Drosophila melanogaster: one gene and its partners. The main gene of each other region encodes a partner of the protein of the gene in region 4 in a complex. Each region holds a gene or a part of one and is shown on either strand. Other genes may lie near its edges.

Region 1 (7,727 bases), on a different chromosome or scaffold from region 4:
GCCGAGGTCCATATACGGCGTGGCCGAGCGCAACATGGCCTCGACCATGTCGATGTGGGCGAACAGAAAGTTAAGCACCTGCACGGCGGCGGAGTTGTTGCGCGGACCCAGCGAGTTGACAATGGCATCGCAGAGGCTCAGCGCCGGCAGGAGGATCGACCGGAAGCGGTCATCGATGGACGGGAGGAAGGTCTGCGGCTCGTTACGATTCAGTTCGCTGGACTTCAGGTCGGGCTGCTGGTCATAGACCTTCATATTCGAAAGCACGCCCAGCGCCTGCTCGGTGAGGAGGAGCCGGGCTCCCACATTGCTGTTCGCCATGCGCGTGAGGAAGGCCATGCGCGACTCGTAGACGTAGAGCGGCCTCAGGTGATCCGGCACGGGCTGCAGAATCCCGCAAAGCGCCGTACTGGACTGATCAAGGCTTTCCAGTATGTGCTTGAGGTAGCCACGCGATGCCACAAAGTCGCATAGCGTGCTCACCGCCTGCAGCTCGGAGATCATGTCCAGGCAGGCCAGCGCCAGCATGCGGCACACATCGTGGCCGGTCACCGCATCGTGGCAGATGGTGTCGATCAGCTTCTCGCCGAACGTGCCAATCACTTCCGCCGCCATGGCCTTCAGCCGCAGGCGATCGTCGCGCCGCTGCTCCTTGTTGTACGTGCGTGCACTCTCCTGGCGCGAAATCAATCTGCAATGAAATAGAATGAAAGCTACAACTGCCTGCTACTGCTGTTGAGAAGGATACACTTACGTCTCCTGGTACTCCAGATGCTCGTCGGTGCGCAGTCGCTTCGCGATCCGCAGGCAATTCAGCAGCGAACTGTACAGATTGATGCGCAGCTTCTGCGACTTCACCTCACTGATCATGATCCACTGGACGAGGTTCTTGAGAATGAATCGCAGATTGCTGCTGTTGCCACCGGAACCGATATCCCGTCCACCTCCACTGCCGCCATCCGAACCAGTTCCGATTGCCCTCTGGCCCAGACACAATGCGTTCACCTGCGAATCGTTGCCGATGGCGTTGCCATTGCCATTGCTGAGCGAATCCTCGGCGGCCAGATCCTCGGGGCTCTGGTCCTCGGCCTGGTAGCAGCAGTAGCGCAAATTGGCAAGCAGCAGCAGCACCGTCTCGCTCACCTGTACGGATATCTCGATGATGGGCTGTATGGGCTGCACCTTGATGAGTACCTTCTCGACGATATCGATGATGTGCTGGCGACGCTGCGTCGCCGGAAGCACGGCATCGGGCATGTTGCTAAAGAGCACCTGCACCAGTTGACCCCATGCTGCCATGAAGGCCAGCGTGGCGCAGCGCTGTGTCCGCACGCGATTTATGTTGACGGCGTGATTGAGCAGCAGCATGATTTCCGTGGAAATGGCCTTCCGCTGGCCGCTGGCAATGATGCTCTGCACCATGTACAGCTCGTCGGTGAGAATGTAGTACAGTTTGCGCACGTTGATCAAGTTGGCCCTGGAATTGGCGCCAGCTTCGGCGGATGCCTCGCAGTCGCGCAGCAGTTGAGTGATCAGATGCCCGTCGAAGAACTCCAGCTGCGGCTGGCTCAACGTGCCCGCCTCCAGGACGAGAATATCTAGCAGTCGGGTGACATGCAGTCCCTGCGATGTCTCCTGCAGCAGCGATGGCTTAAGTGATTTGACCCCAGTGTTTGGAGCTCCGAGAGACGCCGAACCAGCCCCATGTGCCACGGCACTTATCGATCCACCGGCCGGTAGCACATCCATGGCGAGGAAAGACGACGACGGCTGTGAAATCAGGCTGTGGCCCAATTCCATCGACAGGCCATGGGATGAACGCTCCATTCCGTTTCCAATTAGCAAAATGTCGCACATCTGGTTGAAGCGCGTCATCTGGCCATGTTTGGCCGCCAGTTTGACATCGATAGAGACGCAGTTGAGCAGGTGGCCCATGGCGTGCAGCACATGATCCTCGCGATGCTGCCGGAAGGGCAGCGAGCGTAGGTGACGCAGCAGGAAGTCGCTGCACGTTAGCCGGAAGTAGCGCAGTATCGTCTCCGCGGTGCGGCGATTGGCGCAGAGTCCATGGAACAGATGGTAAATGCGCTCCACGATTCTCGCCGTGTGCTCGCAGTACTTATCGCTGTGACGCTGTTTCTGCAATATCAGAGATTGATTTGATTGTTAAAAGTTGGTAAGTTAGTTAGTTAGTTAGTTAGTTAGAATAGATAGTAATGGCCAATGGCTTTCAACTCACATCCATGTACTTTTCCAGCAACAGCACTACGGAGTTCACGCACGAGCTTTGCATCTCGATGGCCAGGTGCTGCCGTCCGTTGGCCATAAATTCGCGCAGCACATCCACGCCGAGCAGGAAGTACACAAAGTTGGGCAACTGCTGGCTAAGATTCATCTCGAACAGCTTGATAATGGCCTCTTTCAGTTGCAGCTCAATGCTAGCCGGTTTGCTCTCCAGCGCGCCATCCCCCGCCTGCAGCTCCAGTTGCGATTCAATAGTTGAATATTCGCGTTCCCCGCTCATCTCTCGCTCATTGTCCAGATCATCGCCGAATCCCAGATACGGAACGTGATTGTTGAGGGCCAGTTGGTCCAACAAATCGTCGTCGTGCTTGCCCACGCACACCTCCATTTCCAGGCACTCGACGAAACCCTGACGAATCTCGAGCTTCTCATTGCTGCCCTGACCGTACATGCTGAGAATCTGGGTGGAGACATTCGGCAGCTGGGTGACCGAAGCCAGAATCTTAATGGCGGCCAGGGCGTGCCGCGGCAGCCAGCTATTATAGGTTACATACTTAATGATATTCAGCACGTGATCGGGCTTGCGACTGCGTGGATTCAGATCCAGGAGCATGCGATTCAGGCCCGACAGCAAAATGGGGCAATTGGCCGCCGAGTGGGCCTCAAAGAAGGCGTTCTGTTTCGCCAATGCGGCTTCCAGGATCAGCAGTGCGTACAATGAGCACTCCTCGAGTAGCTTCTTGCCCTGAAAGCGATTGTAGTTGTCCAGCCGCTCACGCACCTCCTCCACAATGCACAGCAGCAGCTGCAACATTTCGGACTTCAGCTGCAGCTGCATCATAACGTGAAAGCCCGGATAGGGAGGTTCATCGACTGTCTCCAGAAAATCCATTGCGGACGGCCGATAGGTGGCCAGTAGGTAGTAGAGCAGTTTCAGGCACTGGGCGCCAACTTGCCACTTCTCGGAGGGAACCTTGTACGCGCGATTGTAAAACTTGAGCAACACCGAATTTATCATGGACTTTAGATAGCCTTCGTAGGCCGGTGTCCGTTGCCCGGCGCCCAAACTCTTCGGCAGATTGGTGGTCATCAGTGTGTAGAGCAATTGGAGGATGCCGCGCGTCAGGTTATACTGCTCCGAACGGCTCTCGATTTGTTCCATCTCCTCCAACAAACTGCACTGGGCATAGCTTCTAGACACGGGCACAGTGGGTATAATCTGCGAGGCCTCCAGGTGGAACCAGATGACGCGCGCCGTCTCCTTCGATTTGGCCAGGGCAGCCAGCGTGTGCAGAATCTCCGCCTTCAAAAAAAGCGGCGTGGCGCACGCAACCAGGCCCAGGAGCACCTGCGGCGTCTGCCAATTGGGATGGTCACAGATCATGATGCGCGAGACCTCGTCGTGTTCCGCCACCGCCTGTATGATGCCCATTACGGCCACCAGATGCTCCGCCTCTCGCTGCGTAATGGCCTTTGGTGTCGATCGGGTGCGGTAAATGGTCTCGCCGCTCATGCCGATGTTGGTGTTAAAGTCGTTGCGCATCGAACTAGAAGATAGTGATCTTCAGAGAGATCTTCAATACCAGATTTGAGTCACACTTACGTATAGTAGTTGCCCAGGGTGGTGAAGAAGTGATCCCAGCTAACCGCATACTTGCCGCCGGTGGCCATCTGGGGCACCCTAAGCATGTTGAAGGCGCATCGAGCCGAGAAATCGGTCCGTGTAAGTCCGGATATCATCTTGAGGTAGGCCTTGAACAGCGTCTGTGGCAGCAGGTCGCTGGCCAAGCTAATGAACTTGAACAGCGACACCGAGCGCGAGGTGTTCTTGAATGCCGTAGAGCCGTTGGGATCGCCGGGGCCCCAGTACTCGTTGCACAGCCTGATGGTGACGCGCGGATCGCCGTGCATCTTGGCCACGCACAGCATGAGCAGCTCAAAGTTGGAGTCCAAGTTGGGCGGCGGTTCCAGACCCTCGTTTAGGAAGCTGATGATCGTGTGTGACGACTCGTCTGCTCGGCCGCGCAGCTCCGACACCTTGGAGTTCATGAAGTCGATGAAGTCCGTGATGAGCAGATGGACGCGGCGGTAGAAGAACTGCGTGCTGTCAGCACAAATGATGATTAGCTTGCGAATCGGCAATTGACACTTCAGTTGTCAGTACTCACCTATAGACCAGATCCTTCTCGAGCAGCAAGCTGTGGAAGAAGACGAATACCTGCGCTCCCAGTGCCTCGTCGATGAGCATCTCATCGCGATTGATGATCGAGATGGCGGTGGCCTGAAGCTGCAAAGGTGCATGCCGCAGGCTGGCCAGCGTTAGTCCGAAGCTGTAGGCAATGATGGCATTCAGGCGCGGTGCTTGCCAGCTGCTCTGCGCGTACAGCTCCTCCAGGAAGCACTCGGCGAACTCGCGATCGCTGAAGATCGGAAGTCGGGTTGTGTGCTCATTGGGTTCCTCGGTGACCAGCAGCATGGAGGTATCGTACGCATACAGCAGAGCCATCAGCATGATCAGGGTCACGTCGTCCATGTTGCCGCCCGCGTCGTGGTTCTTTCGGTTGGCCAATTGGTGCATCAGCCGAATGGCAATGTGTCGCGGCAGGCCGCGTTGTGCCGACCAATTGAACAGGGCCATTGCCAATGCCTGTTGAATGTCCTCGTATAGGCCGAGCACCTGGTTCTGATGCTTCTTGGAGCCAAACGCGCGGTTTGTGGTCAGCATAGCGCACTGCGAACGTTGGACAACAAATGAATAACAATTTGCGAAGGAAGATATGCAATTTCAGAGAATTTCAGAAACAGGCGCATACAAACCCACCTCCTTGTCGACATCCATCTCCTCGAGCAGCTGCAGCAGGCGTCCCAGTATCCCAGAGCCGTCGACAAGGCTCTCGGCATAGTTAGTGACCAGACCGGTGATCTGCGTGCGTAGAACGATAATCAGGGTCAGTGAATCTCTCTTTCAGCGGCACTGCGATGCCTGCGATGTCGAAATCTCGAAACTTACCTCCTTGGGCAGTTCGGTGTTCCACGAGACGCCGCTAACCACCTGGAACATGTCGCGAAGCGTGCAGCTGATGGCCTTTCGTCCATCGTAGTAGAGCAGCACCGCGACAAGGCCTCTGGACAGGCCGGGATGATGCTTCTGCTGGCGCTGTGCGGTGCACAGCAGCTCCACGGCGAAACCCTCGTCCAGATCGAACATGTCGGACAGAATGACCGCCTCGTCGGCCAGGTCCTGTGACATCTTTGTCTTTCGCGAATGCCCCTGCATCGGGACGCCTTCGTTGAGGGCATTTCGTAGGAGATTGCGGCTCTTCTCGCTTCTCGGCTGCCGACATTTTCAATAATGGATTATCAATAATTAGTTAAATCTACGGATCTGCAAGCGCTTGTTTTGCTATACCCACCGGATTGCGCAGCAAGTTGCTGAAGTTGTGCTTGTACTTCTTGAGGCACTGCTCCAGATCCGAGGTGAAGCCACTGCGATTGGACACCGCGGTCTGAAAAGTGTTGTACAAATGCTTGTACGGCGTCCACATGTCCTCGATTACAGCTGTGGACGCATGGGTGGCATTAGTGATTTGGCGACCCACGCACATCTGCTCGTTGGCCAGGCACTCACCATCCATTTCACTTGGTTTTGCGGTTCGCTCAGTTCACGCAGTTCTTGCTGATTCGCAGTTATTGACTATAAAACGCGGCAAGATTGCTTCGCTTTGCGACAAGGCGCCGGTTACCAGGGCTGGGTGCTGCAAATACTGGAAAACACAGATGTTCACCACCGTACGAACTCACCACGCTCGTACGCGCTTCGGTGCTTGTGCCCGCTAACTGCGGTTGCTGCGCTGGCTAAACGGTTGATTCGAACCAAGTCAATCGGAAAATCGATGCTTATCGAACGATAATCGAGGCGCTGCATCGGTGCGTTGTCGCACCACTAACTAACACAACTTCAGTGCGGCGCGGGCGGGGCGTTTTCGTGAAAATCTACGCACGGACTTTTCGTAGTTACCCGATAGTAGCATCCATTTGTTTTGTTCCGATTCGCGTTTTTTTTTTTTTCTGTTCTCCGCCACTTGATTTGGCCAGCGAACGCACTGCCCAAGTGGTGTCCTGTTCGCATTGTGAGTGAATCACCGATGGCCGCGGGCAGGCTGAACTGCACCATAGTGGGATGCTGGTTCTGGCTGTCGATGCAAGTGGATGTGGAAGTGGATGTAGAAGTGTAAATGCAAATGCAATCGGCGCAGTTCGGCTGCAATAAATGCCAAAAGGGATACTAACTGCCAAAGCCAGTGCAATTGGAAGGAAAATTCAAATTTCATTGGGAATTATTCGAATTGGAATTGAATTTGTAACTGGAGTTGGAGTTCAGAGTACTTGGTACTGGGTGTGCGAGAGCGACAGAGAGGAAGAGAGGCAGTGCAAGTGTGTGGGGGTAGCAGTCACACAGGCACACACGAACATACTCACAACTCCAGTGCATAAAACTCCAAACTGCGTTCGCCTCTCTCTTTTCGTTTCGCTTGCTCTCTCCCCTACGTTCGCCCACGCAACGCCTGGCGAGCGAGAGAGAGAGCGGTATAGAAGAGCAAGGGAGCCAGAGCGAGAGAGCAAGGAAGTGGTTTTTCCACCGAAAATATGGACAAAGGCAAACTGCAGAGTTAGCTGAAAATAAAAAAAAATAAAAAAAAGGAACAAGACACAAACAGTGACTGAAATAGCGGTTAACAGCGCTCCCTTACGGCGAATCGTTGAAATTCAAGACGGAGAGCTATCGCATTTCTTCAATTATGTCTGTTTCGCTTTTCATTCCGCTGCAGTAAGCGATCGCGCGAAGGAGCAGCAATACAGAGAGCGAGATTTGGAGAGAGAGAGAGAGAGATAGAGAGTGCGCTCCCAATTGACGACTCCACTCCACTCCCACACACACTTAACCCCGCCCCCTCGCACCCGTAATTACTATGGATTGTGGTGGTATTGCGGCACATCAGCAACAACAACTACAACAGCAACAACTGCACTTACTCCAGCAACAGCTACAACAACAACACCACCAGCAGCAGCGGCAACAACAACAGCACAGCCTCGAGGAAGCAGCAACAATAACAAATGTAAGTATCTCCCAAGTTTCTCCAAATGTGTGTGTGCGTTTGTGTTGCTCGACCATTTCCTCTGTACTTCATAATTCGCTCCCACACACAAAAAAAAAAGAAGTCATAGGACAGAGTACACAGGAAGAAACTGAACTATACCTTTAAAGTACAGCTTCTTCAAATTATAGTAAGAACGGTGCAAATGGTAGACTCACATATGGTTGGTAATTGTATTAACTATAATTCTCTATTAGTGTTTTTTTTTTCGAGTGTATTCAGTATACTTTACTCCTTGGCTATGAAAATAACCTAGTTATGCAGTGCTAGGTGATCAAAAGACTTCAAATTCGGTACTCCAAAGTTGAGACTGCCCAACTAGTA
Region 2 (4,729 bases), on a different chromosome or scaffold from region 4:
AATTCCAAACTGTTTAGAAGCAGTGATTGGCTCTGCTGCTCGCGGTGATAAGTCTCCTTTTCGATCTGCAGTCTAGAAGATGTGTCCCTTAGAATGCGGTTCTCTTGGCGAAGGCTTTGAGCCTCTGCATCGGCTGCTGCGTGCTTGCGGTGTGCCGCCATCATTTCGTCCTTGAGCAAATGTACGGTTTGCTCGTGTTTAATAATGGTCTTTTCATAGTTCTTGGTACGCTCTTCCAATGTAGTCACCTGCTGCTTGTAGGTGCCTATATTTTTGTGAAGTAGTTCGATTTGCTCTTTCTGGAATTCGGTGGTGTTCATAAGCTTGCAGTTACTGCTGGTTAGCTCCCGCACCTCCTTACGCATAGAATCGAACTGTTCTTGGGCCAGTGCATCGTTTTTACGCTTTTCGCTAGTGTAATAGTCGTAGTTCTCTTTCAGTGAGGCATACTTCTTGACCTCCCCTTCCAACTGTTGCTCCAGCTGTCGCACCCTCTTTTCCAGTTTCCTGCTCTCCTCAAAATTGGCTGCCGGCTGCTCTGAAGTATCCAGTGCAGAGTCGTTAGGCTCCAGATTGGAGTCGTCCAGATCCACAGTATTTTGACCGAGCTTCTTCTGAGCCGCGAAATATAACTTCTTGTAGCGGTCGCACTTGGATAGTAGTGTAGTAACCGTATTGTTCTTTTGCGTTAATAAATCCTCCAATTCGGCAAAACGCGCATCCAGTTTTCTTATGTGATTCTTAGACTGCTCCAGCAACATCTTATCTTGGTTCTTTTCGCTAGCCTCCAAAAGTTCTGTGAGCTCGCGGGACATATTCAGGAGGTATGTATTTCTATCCACCAACTCTTCAATAGAACTAAAGGTTACCAAGTTATCGCTGATCAAACTTTCGCTGGTGGGTAGCTGACGAGTTGGTTGGATACGTACATGTTTCACTCCAGCCCTTATGCAGTTCAATTCGTCCAGCAACATGCACACCTGTCGGCTGAGATCGGTGTGTGTCTGTTTTAGTTTCTTATTCTCATTTTGGTTGTGATTAAGGGTAGATAAGGCCCTTTCCAATTCCCGCTCAAGGCATAGCTTATTTTGTAATAATTCATCATGCTCCCGCAGGAGCTCACTGTTAGTTTCCTTCATTTTTTGGTAATCGGAGTTCTGTTTTTCCAAAATCGGTGCACTCTCTGAAATCTCAGCAATGATCGACTTGAGCTGCAACTTCAACTGCTCAATTTCGCAGTTTCGCATCTCCAGTTCTTCGCTGCTTTTGGCGTACATGGAGTAAAGTTCGGTAAGCGATAGATCGGAGCGGATAAGGCGACTAGCCACAGCCGCACTGGGAGCCAACTGGCATATGGCGCTTTCCAAATTACTTTCCCGGGCCTGTTTTAGCAAATCGTTGGCACTTGCTAGCTCCTGTTCCATAGCCTGAATCTTCTTATTTTGCTCGTCCAACTCAGCGCTGTGCTTTTGCTTCATGGTTTCCATTTGCTCCGTCAACTGGGCGCACTGCTCTTCGGCCTCCTCTAACAAACGTTTAATTTCGGAGATGCCCTGTAGGAGTTCCTCCCGTTGGATCAGATGATCGGATTCGGTGCTCTTAAAGATTTCAAAAAGCTTCTCTTTGGCATCAAGTTCCTTTTTCAGCTTCCCCACATACTCTTCCGTGGCCTGGTTCTGCTTGAAGGCGGTGTCGTTTTGCATTTCAATCTTGCTGGTTAGTTCCCCGATGGTCTTGACGGCCTGTTCGTACTGTTCCTGCATCAGCTTTAGCGATTCGGTCTTTTCTTTAAGGCAAGACTGTAGCTGCATGGTGTTTATTGTGTGCTCCCGTCGGATGTTCTGTAACTCGGCGTTGCTTTTGTTCAGATCTCCGCTGATTAACAAAATCTCCTTGTGCAGCATATCGCGTTCGCTTTCCATGCGGTTCTCTTTGAGCTCCAGAGCCACTTCCTTACTTTGAATTTCGTCCACGCGAGCAATGGCTTCGCACTTGGCAGCAATCGCGCTGCTCAGCTGCTGCTGGTAGGTGTGCAGATCCTGCTTCAATCGTTCCAGCTCCGCTTGTTGGCGCTCGATTACCTTCATCATCGAATCGCGTTCTTCAACTACCGACGCCTTTTCCTTGCGCAACTGTGATATAGTTTGCTCGCCTTTGGCGATCGTGTCCATTAGGTTAACTCGTTCCGAAGACATCTGATCTAGATGAGTGCGCAGCTCGTTTACATTTAACTCAAAGCTGGTAAATTTTACTAGATAGTCCTCCATTTTGTTCTCCAGCTCTTCCTTTTTTTGCTCGGCTTCGGCTGTGAAAAGGGCAAAAATAAATAATCTTCTTAACTGGATTTAAGTAACCACAAAGTATTTGGATTAAAATGAATACACAGAAATTCCCTGAAGATTTCAAACTCGGACTAATCAACTGTTTTGGTGGGAAAATGTCCGGCCAGTGTTACCACACCGGTGAGGTGAAAATTAATAAGGAAAATAATGTTGCTGCAAGCAGCCATTGTTTTTAATTGCAACAACCCGGAATTTTATATTTAAATTTCTATACAAAAAATATGTAAATGGCGCAAGAGTGTTTACCACGCTAGAAACCATACAGTCGCGGATTGCTTATTACAAGAAGCGGTATCTGAGCCGGTAAACGCCGCAAAGTTGGAGGTAAAAGCATACGCATGCAAATAAAGGGTTATTTGCAAAATATGGCGCATTTTAGTATATATACAAATATAAAAACTTACCCAACCGATTGGCGGCCGCACGGTTCTTGCAGTACTCATCTGAGAAATTGTTGATGTACTCCGACAATTTCTTCTGGACGTCTTCCGGCACGAGTTTCAACTCGTCGGGCTGAAGTATGTTGTTCAGAGTTTGTGGACCACTGAGATCCATGTTCGCAGTTGATCCTTGTCAAGCAGCGGTTAAATTTATATGGAGCGGTGCGAAGTTTACTTTCTTACTTTTTACTTTACTTTAGTCTTAATTTTTTGCGAATTGTGCACAAAGTCGCTTTAGGGACGCGAAAAAATGAACGTCAATGCAGTGGAGATGGAACAATATCGATATTTTTCGGTACTATCGATTCGAGTATATTATTCTCACTGTTTCAACAGCGTTATAACAGCCTATTCACAGCCTAATAAAACAAAATGTTTTTCTTTAAAAAGAGATAAATTCATTCATAAAAAAAATTTTTTAAACGTGGTTGAAAAATCCGTTTTTATTACGAATAAAAAAAGAAAGGACTTTATTTAATAACATAAACGAATGCAAAACCCAAACCAAGCGAAATCATTCCCTTTAATTCCATAAAACGCGATTAACCTTTTGATTTCGTGTTTATTTGGTAATTGTCTTTATGGGTAAATGTCTCACAACAACTATTTTAATTCTAGGGTAATGTAATGTGATGTTCTCCATTCAAGCCTCCCTTCTGTCTAAAGCCACTTAATTTTTCCTGCACAAAGTTTAGTCCTTTCCGATATGGATGTGCGAACCTACAACTATAGTCGGCCTATATAACCATCTAGTCGGGCATTGATCGTAGTTATCATATTATAAAGTTATATACGGGTATTTGTAGTTCATGTCTTTTAAACTCAGTTCTTTTTGCGCAACATTTGGTGCTCAGTTGTTGGTTGTTTAGGTTGTTTGGTTTCTTCGTTTGAATATCATCATCTTACACATCCTTTTGCTGTTGCTCAACGGAAGGATAACAAGCGATTGGGTGCGGGTGGGCATGGGGATTGATTAAGATACAAAGATACGGATGAGAACGTACGGATAGTAGTAATAGTAACTGGTAGAATCAGCAATATCGGTGAGGCATTCGAACTCTGAAACTCAGGAACTCAACTAGTATTTGATCGCTACTAAAACACTATTAACATATGGGGCAACCAACGAATCCGAATCATTTCTAGGCCTCCTCGCACTCCTCCTCCTCGCGCTGAACAAACAACCGATGGTTGCGGGCCTCCAGGATGGACCACACAATCAGCGGAGTGGTCCCGAGCACCATGCAGGATCCCATGCAGTAGAAGCATATCTCGTAGTCTCCGGAAAGGTCTCGCATCAGTCCTGCCAGCGGAGGCACCGATATGGCCCCGATGCTCTGGAACATCCTCACCAGCCCGTAGCTCGAGCTGATCCTGTCCGTGCCAAAGACGTCCGCAAGGAGGACCGGCATAAGTACATACCAGCTACCCAGGCAAAGTCCGTAGACAGCGGCCGATAGACCCACCAAAACCAGAGTCTTGGCGAAGGGAATTGTGAGCACGGCACATCCGGCGCCCAAAATGCTGTCGATATAGGGAAATGTGATTAGTTTGGATCGAAAAATAAACCTTATCTGGTACTCACCACAAGGTGTAGGTCTTCTTGCGATCGAATAGCTGCAGGTCGCACAGCCAGCCAAGTCCAAGGCGCCCAATTAAATCTAGGACCGCGCTGATGGCCACCAGGTATCCCGCCTCACTTTTATTGTATCCTAAAGATGAACCAAGTTTATAATATTTAAAATCGTACGCCGAAAGAATATACTTTGAACATTTTAAATAGTATACCTATTGAAATAACGTGGGCGGGCAGATAGTACAACATGTAGGGACAGCCGACGGACATCAAGGTGACGGATAGGCACATCAGGATAAAGCTCGGGTCCTGCAGCAGACTGATGTCCAGGTACATCTCGATGCGCTCGCAGCAAGTGCGTGGTCCCCGCT
Region 3 (4,970 bases), on a different chromosome or scaffold from region 4:
AAAACGAGCATCCGGCGACTGTGGCTGCTGCAGTAGTCCCCTATCCAAATCGCAGTTCAACTGGAGACCCTCCTGGCCGCCGGACAGGCTTATCAATAGCTTGTAGAAGCGTCTAGCTCCTGGTTGCGCTACCGGCAGACACTTGTCCAAAACGTGCCACAGATCCAGTTTCAGCCAACTATGCTCCTCCAGGCCAGCCAGAAGTTTGCCATAATCGCAGGGCTCGCCAAGTCGATAGCGTCTGCTTAGACGCAGTGAATCTTCCATGCTTCGTTTGTTCACCACTCCTTCGGGGTTTTCGGCTCCAAAACTTAAAGGCAGTTGGTTAAATAGCGTGTCCTTCTCCTGTTGCGTTCGCCGATATTTCCGCCATCGTCTGATGCACACCCTCATGACGCCTAGTTCGTAGATGGATTGCTCCATCTGCCGCTCGACGAGATCGCGTGTTATTGAGTCCAGCATGGATTCGTAGGAACGGCAAGCCCGACTATGCGACATAAACTCGCTTTGGCAAATCTCCGCGAGGGTGTCCTGGAATATTTCCTGATACAACTCCAAAGTCCTGGTCTGTTTGTGGGCCTCCCTTTCCTGCTGCTGCACAAAAAACAACTGTTCCAGTTTCAGTTGCCTCTCTTTTTCCAGCTGAAGTTTCTCCTGCTCCCGCTGGCGTTGTTCCTCCAGTTCCTGCTGCTGGCGACGCTGCTGCTCCTGGCGTTCCCTGAGTTTCTGCTGACGCACTCGCTCAGCCTCGGCCACTTTGGCCTCGTGAATAGCCATTAGCTCAGCTTCCCGCTTCTTTGCAGCGGCAATGGCTACTTGGAGGGCCTGATGCTTGGCCTCTTCTTGTGCCCGTCGCTGCTGTGTAGCCGGAGCTTGTTCCTGGAACTCCTGAGCACGTGATTTGGGAAGAACAAAACTGAATCCATCGATGGAGGAGGCTGGCGGAACAGCAGCCGCAGCAAATACTCCAAACCCTGCTGCCGTTCCGTCGGGTTGCATGGGCACCTTAAACAAAGTATCGCTATGTTTTGAGACTGCTGGTGGCTGCGAAGGCATTTGTGGCTGCATCTCCTCTTGCTGCATGCCAGCCAGCTGATCCTTGGCCGTCCATGCAATGCTCTTAAGCATTCCATAATCGTCGAAGCTATTGTGCGGTCGGTGATTGAGGTAGAGGTCTCGTGGTGGTAAAGGTTCCCCACTGACGACTTCGCCCACGCTCTTCACGCGTTTCACTTCCACCAACTGGAAGTGGATAATAAAAATCAAATTAATAAAACAAAAAAAAGAAAACCATTTACTTACCTCATACTGTCGCGGCAGCTTGTACTCCGTCTCCACCGTGTGCATTCTGCTTAGCACAACTCTGCCCGCCTCGTTGATCTGCAGGCCATAGTGTTGGACAAAATCCGCCGCCTCCTGTTCGCTGGCAAAGCTCAGCAGCTCGGCGATGTAGCTGAGAGGCAGCGAAGACACCTCATCCTTCCGCGGAGACCTATACGCCTGGATCAGACGATGCAACCCCAGCACGCGCAGTCGCGTAAAGTAATTGACTAGGATGCAGGCACTCAGGTAGCTGGTATCCTTGTCAGCCAGCAGCTGAAAGAACCGCACAAAATTCGTGTCCTGCAGGGCCAAGTAGAACTGAATGGCTTGACGCACTTCGGGACAACTCTGCAGTTCCGCGGGCAGCTGACCGATGTCCCAGAGAAAGTTGGCATCGGCCAGATTGAGCAACACAATGTAGCCCCGGAATTCCGCCTCTTTGGGACATGGAACGCCCTTAATCCGCAGGTCATGGTACATGTACTTCAGAGTCTGCAGGCATTTGGTTAGATTCTCGGCGTTGATCTTGCTGTCAAAGACGCTGGGATCGGCGTCAACCAGACGGGCGGCGCAATGAATGTGAAACCGGGCGCACTGCTCCACCAGCTTCACAGCGCCCAGAGAGCATAGCTCCTGCTGGGTGATCTCCTTTCGGATGGACCTCGTGCGATCCCAAACGAAGTGGAACCAATCGCCCATATGGCTTTGCGGATCCTGGCGCTCGCTAATGTCCATGATCTCATGCATTAGATAGCTCATGGTCATGTGCAGGGCAGTCTCATTGCGCAGTTCATGCGGCAGTGGCGTCTCCTGGTCGGCACTGCTGCGCGAGTACTGCTTCAGGGCTCTTTCGTGACAGATTAGCTCATCGGAGCCCGGTTGTAGTTCATAGTAGGCTACCTGGCGCTGGAATTCTCTCAGCACGCGCTCCTTTTCCGGACACATATCGGCGCAGTGACCCTGGGTGGCACCGGACAGCTTGTGTTGCGTTCGGTTCAACCGGAGCAGCTTATCGCGGGCATCCAGCACGCTGAACTTCTCCTCGCTTGTATGGGCGGGTCTGCGCATCATGTTCTCAAGATCCCTGAGCTGGGCAGGCGTACGATCTCTGCTCACCGGCGCCGTTGCGGGCCCAACTGGTATGGCAGGCAGCATTGAACTGCCACCGCTACCACTGCTGCCATTTTGTGGTTTTTTTATCGGCTTGCCCGACCCATACTCATTGCGCCAGCCCGACTGCAGTGCACTCAACTCCGCCTGAATGTCAGGATCCACCCACTCCTCCGTTTTCTGTGCCGGCGCCGTCTCGTTATCAGCATAGGATATATCAAACAGGTGACCCTGAAAGCTGGCGCCATCGAGAAGCGCCCGCGCCGCCTCGTCCTCGCTGGCATAGCTTACGGTGCAGGTCATTCGCCGCGGACGCAGGACGAAGTTTACGAGGGTTCCAAAACGTCCAAAGTGCGAACGCGCCACATATTTGTCCAAAAATAGCTCCGGAATGTTTCTGCATCTGGGGATTCGTATGGAACTATAGTTGACATCGCTCTGCCTTTGATGAACGAACTTTTACTCACAATAATGTCTTGTAGTTGTAGCCGCCGGGACGGGGTTCTGCCATCGATCGAATATAGTTTAAGGTTTTTAGTTTCTTTTTTAGCTGAATGAGAGCGAATGTGTGCTTTGTTGTTACAATATTGCCGTCAAGCGATTGCCGGTAATCGATAACGCAAATCTGAAAATGGCGCGAAAAAAATACCGCAATGGCTATCCCACCCACACAATATCGTTCAGGTTTAATTGAAAATTTTAATGTTTTACATTCGAGATGAATGTATTTGCCTAATAAATAAAATGTTAACAGGAGTTGGTAAACATATATTCTTAGGAAATTAGGAAATGCTTGGGGCGTTCCTTAAACTGTTGAATGAAATCGAACATCTTCTTATATTATCTTATATATATATGAATATATATATAGGTGTAGCAATCTTTTTAAGTTCTTTTTATTCTCTTTTAAGCTCTCGATTCAAACTCCTCGATCTTGATAACACTATCTGTCGTTCTTAGGACTATACAATTAATCCTATCGAAATTGGTTGTTCCTAGTATTTTATATTTATACATAGCTTACATAAGAAATATTTTCATCTTTACACTTTAATATTTTAAGACGATTAATTACCTCTTAATCAATATCTCTATTTAATAGGCTGACTTATATAAAGCAATGCAAATTCAATAAAACTTATTGCAGAATTAGATGGCATTTAGCCCAATCCCTGATTTTAAAATAAGCGGGAGATAACGAGCAGTAGTGTGACCGCCCAGTAAAGTATAACCAAATACCGCGAAGAAGCCAAGCTGCTGTTCCGATAGTATCGATGAGCCTGCCATCCCCAGAATTTTGGTCATTTGTTGTTGCTCGCCAGGGCGAATTCGAACTCGAAGCGCAGTAATCAACGCGCTGCTCGTGGATTTTTTTTGCATTTTTTTGAGTTCAAATAGTTCGTTAATAAGAGTGGCGGTCAACGATACTATTCCACTTGCAATCGAAATATGAATAGTTGAAAGTGATAAACAACAAGAAAGAAGCGACGCCAACGGGCGAAAAAGGAGATAACCGAAAACGAAAAACACGACAAAAGCAACGTTAAAAGAGAGTAACAGAAAAGATATAAAAACGATGATCGAACCGTAAATTTAAAACCATGCAATCTACAGCGCATAATATATAATAATTTGACCAAAACAAATGCCAAGTTTGCGAGCGAGAGCGAAGAACGTTAAAAAAAGAAGTAAATAAATGATCTTGGCCCGCTGTTTGTTGTTCTTGTTATTATGGTTGCCGTTGTTGTAACTCGTTTTTTTTAATGCGCGCGTGTATGAATCACACAAACACAACAAAACAAACAATAACAACGATGCCTTACGGTGAAATATGCTAAGTAAATAGCAAAAGAGAGTTCCAGTTTCCAGAGAGCGACAGAGAGGGAGAGCGCGCGAGAGCGACTACAAGTACATACTGGAAAGCGATCCCGATCCTTTTTCCAGGCACGCAGCCATCTCGCTCGCACCCATGCCGCCCTAGACCAACTTTTGTTGCAGCTGCCTAACAACCAACAATACAGCAACAACAAGCGCACTGTGCACGCGAAAGGAGCAACAAGGATGGCGATAGCTGGAAAGCGACGACGATGATGATGATGCGGTCGTAACAACAACAGCAACAAGAACAACAAAAAGCTGCTGCAGGCAGACGAGCATAGCGTTAAAAAAAAGTAGCTGCATACAAAATAGTAATAGGAAAAAATCCGAAAAATTCGAGAAAAAAATAAGTTAAAGAAACGATCGCCCAATTTAATCAAGTGCATATATGTGTGTGCAAAATAAAAAGTGCATTGCAGCAGTCAAAAATACATACTTATTATCGCAGATCGAAGACGATAATAGTTATTGTTAACACGAAAAGTACGAAATGAAGGTCACCGTCTGCTTCGGCGACGTTCGCATTCTGGTTCCCTGTGGTTCCGGCGAACTCCTCGTCCGCGATCTCGTCAAGGAGGCCACGCGACGCTACATCAAGGCGGCCGGCAAGGTAAGGGGATATACCTGATATATATGATATAGTATTATAAAGTATTACT
Region 4 (7,573 bases):
TGTAACTGGAGCAAGTGGTAGCGCAAATCGTAGACGGGCTTCTTGGTGTCAGTAGGTGCGTCCCTGTAGCTGGGCTTTGGGGGCTCCGCATAGCACTCTTCCGCTTGGAAGGCGTCGTTATAAGCATTGAGTGCATCGGTGATAGACGATGTTGGGGCTGTGAAATACCATAGCTGCAGGGCCAGTGCTGTCAGCCAGTTTTTATTCTCGAGTAAGTTGATGGCCCCATGTGAAGACTGCATCATTGGCGCTCCGGCGGCCAGCATGTACATCTTAAGGCGCTCCAGATCGATATACTTATCCGACTTGCTCTGCTGCCAGGCAAAGAGCTGCTCCTCCATTAATAGCCGGAAGACAGCTCCGGAACTTAATTGGGACAGCACAAGAGCCAGATTAGCATCATCGTAGCTGAAGGCCAGCTCACAAGCCTCATTTACGCGATGGCAGCTAAGTAAATCCAACATGTGCTCCAGGTAGCTGTGGGTGCTAACTTTTTTCGAGAGTAGATCTTTGCCCAGCAGCGTGTTCTCAAGCCACTCGGATAGCAGATTGCGCCGACACATGACCATGTAATGAGAGTTCTTTTCCAGGTCCACCAGTTCATCGTGATCGCCCCATAGTGCGAATAAAAGCGACCACACTGACACGCTATAGTCCTCTTTTAAGCCAGCATTTCTCTGCTTAAGAGACTCGGAGAAGTGCTTGGAAACTAGTTTCGTACCGCTATCGGGATGTATACACGGGCACTCACTACCCTCCACATTAACTGAGAGGCAGTCGTTAAGCTGAACTTCGAGATGGGGAATGATACTTTCTCGAAAACCCTCGTTGCCTTTGACCATGTTAAACTCCACCAACTGCATTACACTGGGCGACAAATCGGTGGCCGAGCGCGGCGCAAATACCATGGAGACGGGCAGGGATGGTCCAGTAACTGAAGCAAAGGGAAATTATTATAATTGGACTGCTACAGCTTGTTTCAGATATTCTTACATTCTTTTAGGTTTTGCATGTTATTATAGGTGCTTGGCAGTACCAATGAGTTTTGTGGACCAAAACTGAGCTTAAAGCTGCGTCCTTTGTAGAATCCCAAATCGGCGATCCAATTATCGCGCATCTCATAAGCGATGGACCTGGGTAGGGGAACCGTGGTGGCACGCAACTTAATCGGAGCCACTTTGGGCTTACAGACAAACTTGAAGGCTTTAGTGACAGGCATTTCAAACTTCGTTTCTTTTACAGCTGCAACAATGCTTCCAGTTGCCATCGACGATGTCTGAAATTGATCAGGATGTTTATTGGGCTTCAAAGTAAAAGGTTACGTCGATATACCTCCTCATAATGTGCATCACACATCAGGCTGGCCTCAGAGACGGAGGAAGAAATCGGCAGAGCGGGCGATGGGTGTTCAAAATCGTACTGACTGGAACTCTCGGAGGCACCATCTTTCCAAACAAGAGGTTCCACGTTGAAAAACTTGCGATGACGAAGAAGACGCCCCGTAGTCTCTGTAGAAATTTATGAGTAATTTTCAAATGTATAGTGGCCGTGTGGGATGATAAGCAGTGAATTGTTGTAATTATAATGAATTGTTGCCAAAGCAGGCAAAATGAATTGGATTTACTAACACATTTGAAAGCTTTATTAACTTTATAATTTGTGCTACCTTTTTAAACATAAATATATATATATAATACTTTTTGCAACGATCAAAAATCATTAAATATCGTTGATAATTAACAATACATATTTGCTCAAAACTAACGATTAACATTTAAACATCTACATATCTTTTACTGTAAGCAATTTGAAAGACCATCAAGAGATTATCCACCTACCCATGGGTTCGTCCTCGGGAGCATTGTCCTCCACAAAGAAGGATGACTTCATTAGCTGCATTTTGTGCGCCTCGTTGCCTACCATTTCCTGAGCCAAAACAGCTGTGGGACTGGTAATCGTTGGACGTTGACGCGGTGGATCAAACATGGAGAAATCGGAGTTGCCACCAGCTTGGAAAAATTCTGCGAATTAAAATTAAGTAAATTACAATTAATGAAACTAAACCTTTTAAAATGGACTTTAGACGTACGTGTTTTGTCCATTAAAAGGAACTCGGCGGTATCATCCATTGGCCTGAATCCGCTGGCAACACCTGCGACCAAGGCTTTTGGGTCCAAGTTACGGGCTGCATCTTCTGAAATCTTCTGCGCTTGGCGCAGCGAATTGAGCGTCATCTTTTCTGCGTTTGCCCGCTGCTGAGCCTCAAGCGTTGCAATTTTGGCTTTTTTCGGGTCAGTGGGCAACTCGTCCTCTTCGTCGCTGTCTCCCAGGCCATATTTAGAAAAGTGCTTGACGCGGAAGACCCAACTACCCGTTTCCGGGCGGTATTCTATAAAGCGCGTATCGTTTTTATCGCACACCCGGCGCAACTTGCCCTCCCAGTCCATCTCAAGCAAGCGTTGTGGGTCCTTGATGGCTTCGTGCTTGGTCTTGTCCAACGGCCATACTTGGTCCAAAGTGACCTGGGCGTCACGGTTTAGACCTTGACCAATGGGCGGCTTGTTTTCGTCGTCGGGATAAATGATAATCTCCTTGTTGCGAAAGTGGACTGTGATACAAATTGTTTTGCATTAAATAAATGTATGAGAGCAAACACAAACGGTTATAAAAAAACACAAGACTCTTACCAATCTCATCGAGGTTCAGGCCAGCCACATCCATTTCCTTGCCGAAGAAGACATTGCCGTATCCTTCCCGACCCACCGTAAAGTTCGGAACCACACAGGATCCGTCCTCGGCCAGATAGGAGCGTAGGTCGTCTAGCGATGGAATTGTATAGTAACCCACGCGTCGCAGCACAATGCCTGTTGGATGTGATTCGTCGTCTGCTGCCTCTGCAGCAGCTGCCTCAATGGCTAGGCGGGATTGGTTTGCTGCAGAGTCCTCTGCCTCATTAGATCTGTTCGAAAGCACACTCTCATTGGCCTGCTGCGAAGTGAAGGTTTCGCGACGTGCAATGGTGCTGGATTGATCCTCAAATGGATTCTCTGGGATGGTTGACACCGAGAGGCGAACGGTGGAGGATGGTCGGTATGTATCTAAAGGTTTACGTGGCACAAGCTCGTTGAGGGTGCTGTTATGGGGCGATCCCTGATCCATTCCAGTCTGAATGTTGTGCTGGCGTACCTTCTCAAGGTTGTTAGGATGCAGCCATGACTCACGGCGGCCGTTATCCTGACTTTCCCGTCCATTCGTTGCTCCAGGCGAGTTTCCAGCTGGTGGTAGCGGCTCACTTGGAATGGCTCCGCTAAACGACTCGCGTTCTTTGTTGGGAGTTGCGCCTTTGGGTCGAGATTGGGGCGTGTTGGGAGCACTGCCAATAGAGCTAGAGGGATTTCCACCCTCTACACTTTTTACTTTGGGTTTGATAACTAATCGTTTAGCACTGGGCTTCAGATTGAAGCCCTCTACAGAAGCATCAAACTCCTCGAGACCATCAAACAGCGATTTTCTATTAAGTGTGCTGCCCAGCGCCTTTACCTTCATTGGAGCAGGATTGTTGCTGGTACTTATCTTGTACTGGTTGCTGGTCAGGTCCAGAACTGCTTGTTGGGCAGCAGGATTTGTAGCTCTTGTTGCATCTGCTTCACTGCTTAGCTTTAGATCCTTGAAAATCGGAGAGTCTCCGTAGGGAGAAGTTACCCTAGCTAGGATCTGCTGATGAATGGGCTGGTGTGAAGGCGTCATGATACCCAGTGTGGGCTGAGCTCCCATAATACCACCAGTTAACGAGTTGTTTGTACCCATACCGAAGCCTCCTCCGCCCAAGGAACCACCGACACCTCCGAAACTGGTAGTTCCTCCTCCAAACAGTCCTCCCGTTGGGGCAGCACCCGTGCCACCCAAGGTTGTAGTACCTCCTCCAAAAAGACCTCCTCCCGGCTTGGCTGTATTTCCGAAAAGTGATCCGCCCGTGTTGCCTGCGTTGAAATTAAGTGGTGCTGCGCTGGTGGCTCCAAAACCTCCGAATCCGGACGTTGCTGGCTTGTTCAATCCCGAGTTAAAAAGGCCTCCTCCCGTTGCTGCTGTACTGGTGTTCAGGCCAAAATTTGAAAACGGAGTGCTAGCCGTGGAGGTTGCGCCGAAAGTTGGAGCAGCAAAGCTAGTGGCGGGCTTGTTTCCGAAAAGGCCTCCGCCGGCGGTGCTTGTTGCTGGAGCTCCAAATCCAAAACCTGTCGTGGCTGCTGATGCAGCCGTTCCCAACCCAAAGGCTGATTTATTTGGATCGGCGGCTGGTGTGGCACCAAAAAGAGTTGACTGTTGCGTTGCTCCGGCTGTGGTTCCAAAGCCTCCGAATCCTGTGTTAGTCTGTCCGAAAGCAGGAGCCGCACTGGTAGCAGGTGCCTGACCAAAGAGGCTTCCTCCCTGTCCAAAAGCAGGCTTCGCCCCAAATGGATTTGAAGCGTCAGCTGCGGGAGCGGCAAACGGAGTGGTGGTGGTGGCTCCAAAGGGCTTTTGCAGAAAGTTGTTTTGCTGGGTTGCTGCTCCGAATGCATTGTTAGTCGCCGGTTGTTGGCCAAAAGCGGTGGTGCCAAACATGCTCTTATTCTCGGTCACAGTTTGGCCAAACAGACCTGTGCTTGGTTGGGCAGTGCTTCCAAACAGGCCACCACTTGCAGGCTGAGCGGGCTGAGTAACCTGAGCTCCAAATCCAAAAGCTCCCGGAGCATTCCCAGCCTGTGGACCCTTGCGCCCGCACATATAGTCTTCCAGGCGGAGCTCCTCCAGAGATTTGCCCTCGAACTCCTTCATAGCCGTGATGCAGTGCTGCTTAGTGTTCACACTATTTGCCTGACCGCTCTTCATCAGGGTATCTGTACCAATGGTTGGCTGGTACTTGGCCACGGCCGTGCCCGTATTGACTCCGGAAGCTCCCACGGCCGTAGCCTGAGGTTGGGCAAAGGCGGAGGCGGTGCCACTGCCAAAAACATTGGTGGTTGTAGGCGCCGACGTCCCAAAGCCTCCGAATCCTGTTGTACTGGTGGCGGCAGCCGGTTGGCCAAACAAAGAGCCCGTGGGCTGAGCAGCAGCTGTTTGCCCAAAGGCCGTCATAGTCGGCTTGGCGGCTCCAAAGGCGGGTAGCGTCGATTGTCCAAAGAGGGAGGTGCTTGCCGCCGTCTGGGTGGATCCAAATATGTTCGAGGTCTGTTGCGGCTGCGAGAAGGCTGCAAAGAAGAAATTACTAAATTAGTAACATGATACCACTTCAAATGATCGTGTCTAACCTCCAAAAGCCGTGGGCTGAGCTGTGGCAGTGCTTCCAAATCCCGTGGACGTGTTTGCCCCGAATAAGCCTCCGGCGGGCTGAGCTGGTGTGGCTGCCGCACCGAACAGTGACTGCTGCGCGGGTTGGGCGGCAAAGGTGGAGGTGTTTCCAAAGGCCGGTGCGGCGGGTTTGCCAAATGCCGACTGGCCAAACGGAGTGGTTGTTGTGGTGCCGCTGAATCCGCCAAAGCTGGTGGCCGCCGGAGTGGCTCCGAAGCTGGGTTTCGCGCCGCCAAACATTTTGCTCGCTGCTGCTGCTCAGATAACAAACATATACTAGGTAGATCCCCTGCTTTGTCCTTCGCCGGAATGCCAACTATCGCGATGAGCAATGCTTCGATTTCACCACGTTGGGCAAGCTGGGGCGGCTGCGCCGGATGCGAAGGTTGTGGGACCGGACAGGCTTAGCTTAAAACAAATAAACACTCGCGAATTTGTCAAGTCAGCAGGAGTCGACCGAGTCTGACGCAAAAAGTGGACAGAAATGGCGCGCCGATTTTTTCACGATGTTGAAGAAAATGCAGCCAAAAGTGTGACCAAGGCGTGAAATCGCATGCAAAAATACACTGTAAAAAAGCAGGATACAACTGCCAGGCGCATAACTATTGACCATAACTTATTTATGGTCTTAATAAAATTTTTGCTTGGTGCCTCCGAAGCAAATTTACTATGAATGTGTGGAAAATGTATTTTATAACTTGGGTTTCTCGTATTTTGTAGGTAAGCTCGATTTTCACATTTTTATGTGACCGTACTGCGAACAAAGTGAAAACCCATTTGACATCAACGGTGTGAACACGCTGTAAGGGGCACTCTATATTTGATATTTTCGATTGGGAACAGTACGGTACTTCTGGGCATCGAGCACGCTCATTCACAACAAACAGTTGAAACGCGCGGGTTGTTTTCCGAGAGCGGTTATTTAATTAATTGGCAACTGTCACACACGAGTGTGTGTGCGATCGAGTGCGTGTACATGTGATAATTAGCTGAGCGGCAGCGGCCAACTCCCAGCCCAAATACAAGTCGAGAACAAAACGAGCGAAAAACGGCGCAAAATGCATTTGCGGAGCGACAATTTGTGCGGAATGCTAGCTTTTGTGCAATAATTATTTATTGGTTGCAATTGTCCAACCGGTGTGCTTTTCGTCGAAATCTGTAGCGAAATCGGAGGCGAAATGCTTGTGTTGGCGGCATTGTGAAAACGAAATCAAAATTTCAACTACGTGTTGCTCTTTTGCCGTTGCCTAATTTAATGTCTTGTTGTTTTTATTTTCGCAAACGAAAGTCCATCGCTTTGCATGTGTGAGTAGCGATCGTTTGTCGCCGTGTTGGTGGTAAAAGTCGGCGCAAAAACAACAATATCAGCAACAACACTAGTAGAAGCAACAACAACGAGAAGAAAAGCCTTCAAGATGAGTGTGTGGAGCGACTGCAATGCCAAGCAGGCAGAATTCGGCATTGGTAAGTTGGCAATGCGGCTATTAAGCCGATAAATTAGGTAGAATATGGCTAGGCAGGAATGTTTAAACAAAGTGCTTTGTAAACAACAATAAAGGAAAACTTTATGAACTGTTGGGCGCTCTTTTCCAGAGCACACCTCATCTCCACCCCCACCTCTCTCTCTAACTCTCTCTCTTATTTCACCGCATGTGTGTGCCTCCTGCTGCGTTGCTACGGTAAAACTTGTTGCACCTTCTCGCTTGCACACGCTCACTCGGCTGCTGTTGATCCTCCCTTTCCCGCTCTCACTGTGTTGTTTCGTTTTTCATTTCATTTCATCCTGCTCAGTCAACACTAGCATAAAATTCTGAGATTTGCTCTTGAAACTAAAACCTGTTTTCTATTGTCTCTCTCGCTTTTCATACTGTCTCTGTCTCTCACGTGCAACTGCAACACACTGCCAGAAAAAAGGCCTGGTACACATAAAGAAATTTTATACAATTAATGTAATTTTACATAAACTTAAATCTGAAGTACTACAACATTAGTACTACAACTTTTACGTATTTACGGGTGTGGGATTTGAAACCTGGTCTTTGTAAACCCAAGGCAAGCTGCATCAAGCTGACAGTAGAAATGTTTATTTTCTGTGTACACTGTGAGACAAATCCCAATTCAATGGCAGTGACCATGAAATATCTAATCGCGACCCGCTTCGAATGCGTGTGAATTTTTTATGGATCTCGTTTTGTTGACCTTTTCACCGCTGATCAATAGATACGACAGGTACATAAAGTACAGGTAC

Evidence for each region.
Region 1: Nup98-96 (region 4) and Nup205 share a complex: the UniProt entries of both Drosophila melanogaster proteins name them as parts of the nuclear pore complex.
Region 2: Nup98-96 (region 4) and Mgtor share a complex: the UniProt entries of both Drosophila melanogaster proteins name them as parts of the nuclear pore complex.
Region 3: Nup98-96 (region 4) and xmas share a complex: the UniProt entries of both Drosophila melanogaster proteins name them as parts of the nuclear pore complex.

What each region holds. Positions count from the first base shown.
Region 1 is NC_004354.4:19,850,500-19,858,226, reverse strand, and holds the start of Nup205 (nucleoporin 205kD), read right to left. Parts: upstream 6,014-7,727; 5' UTR 5,880-6,013; coding exon 5,658-5,879; intron 5,579-5,657; coding exon 5,255-5,578; intron 5,168-5,254; coding exon 5,066-5,167; intron 4,976-5,065; coding exon 4,413-4,975; intron 4,349-4,412; coding exon 3,848-4,348; intron 3,792-3,847; coding exon 2,240-3,791; intron 2,140-2,239; coding exon 755-2,139; intron 692-754; coding exon 1-691. Other genes in the region: pico, read left to right, coding at 7,215-7,364. UniProt on the Drosophila melanogaster protein: Plays a role in the nuclear pore complex (NPC) assembly and maintenance, but with limited role in NPC permeability. Required for specific nuclear import pathways such as Mad import.
Region 2 is NT_033778.4:11,850,924-11,855,652, reverse strand, and holds the start of Mgtor (megator), read right to left. Parts: upstream 3,037-4,729; 5' UTR 2,898-3,036; coding exon 2,747-2,897; intron 2,306-2,746; coding exon 1-2,305. Other genes in the region: Sln (silnoon), read right to left, coding at 3,925-4,306, 4,368-4,494, 4,571-4,729. UniProt on the Drosophila melanogaster protein: Component of the nuclear pore complex (NPC), a complex required for the trafficking across the nuclear envelope. Functions as a scaffolding element in the nuclear phase of the NPC.
Region 3 is NC_004354.4:17,156,271-17,161,240, forward strand, and holds the start of xmas (xmas), read right to left. Parts: upstream 3,037-4,970; 5' UTR 2,945-3,036; coding exon 2,901-2,944; intron 2,837-2,900; coding exon 1,303-2,836; intron 1,243-1,302; coding exon 1-1,242. UniProt on the Drosophila melanogaster protein: Involved in mRNA export and mRNA coupled transcription activation.
Region 4 is NT_033777.3:23,775,600-23,783,172, forward strand, and holds the start of Nup98-96 (nucleoporin 98-96kD), read right to left. Parts: upstream 6,023-7,573; 5' UTR 5,566-6,022; coding exon 5,286-5,565; intron 5,226-5,285; coding exon 2,688-5,225; intron 2,609-2,687; coding exon 2,090-2,608; intron 2,022-2,089; coding exon 1,839-2,021; coding exon of another isoform or gene 1,819-1,838; exon of another isoform or gene 1,617-1,818; intron 1,509-1,616; coding exon 1,333-1,508; intron 1,277-1,332; coding exon 994-1,276; intron 935-993; coding exon 1-934. Other genes in the region: mbc (myoblast city), read left to right, coding at 6,741-6,789. UniProt on the Drosophila melanogaster protein: Part of the nuclear pore complex (NPC). Required for MAD import as part of the Nup107-160 complex and required for nuclear export of Moe probably via its association with Rae1. Plays a role in nuclear mRNA export.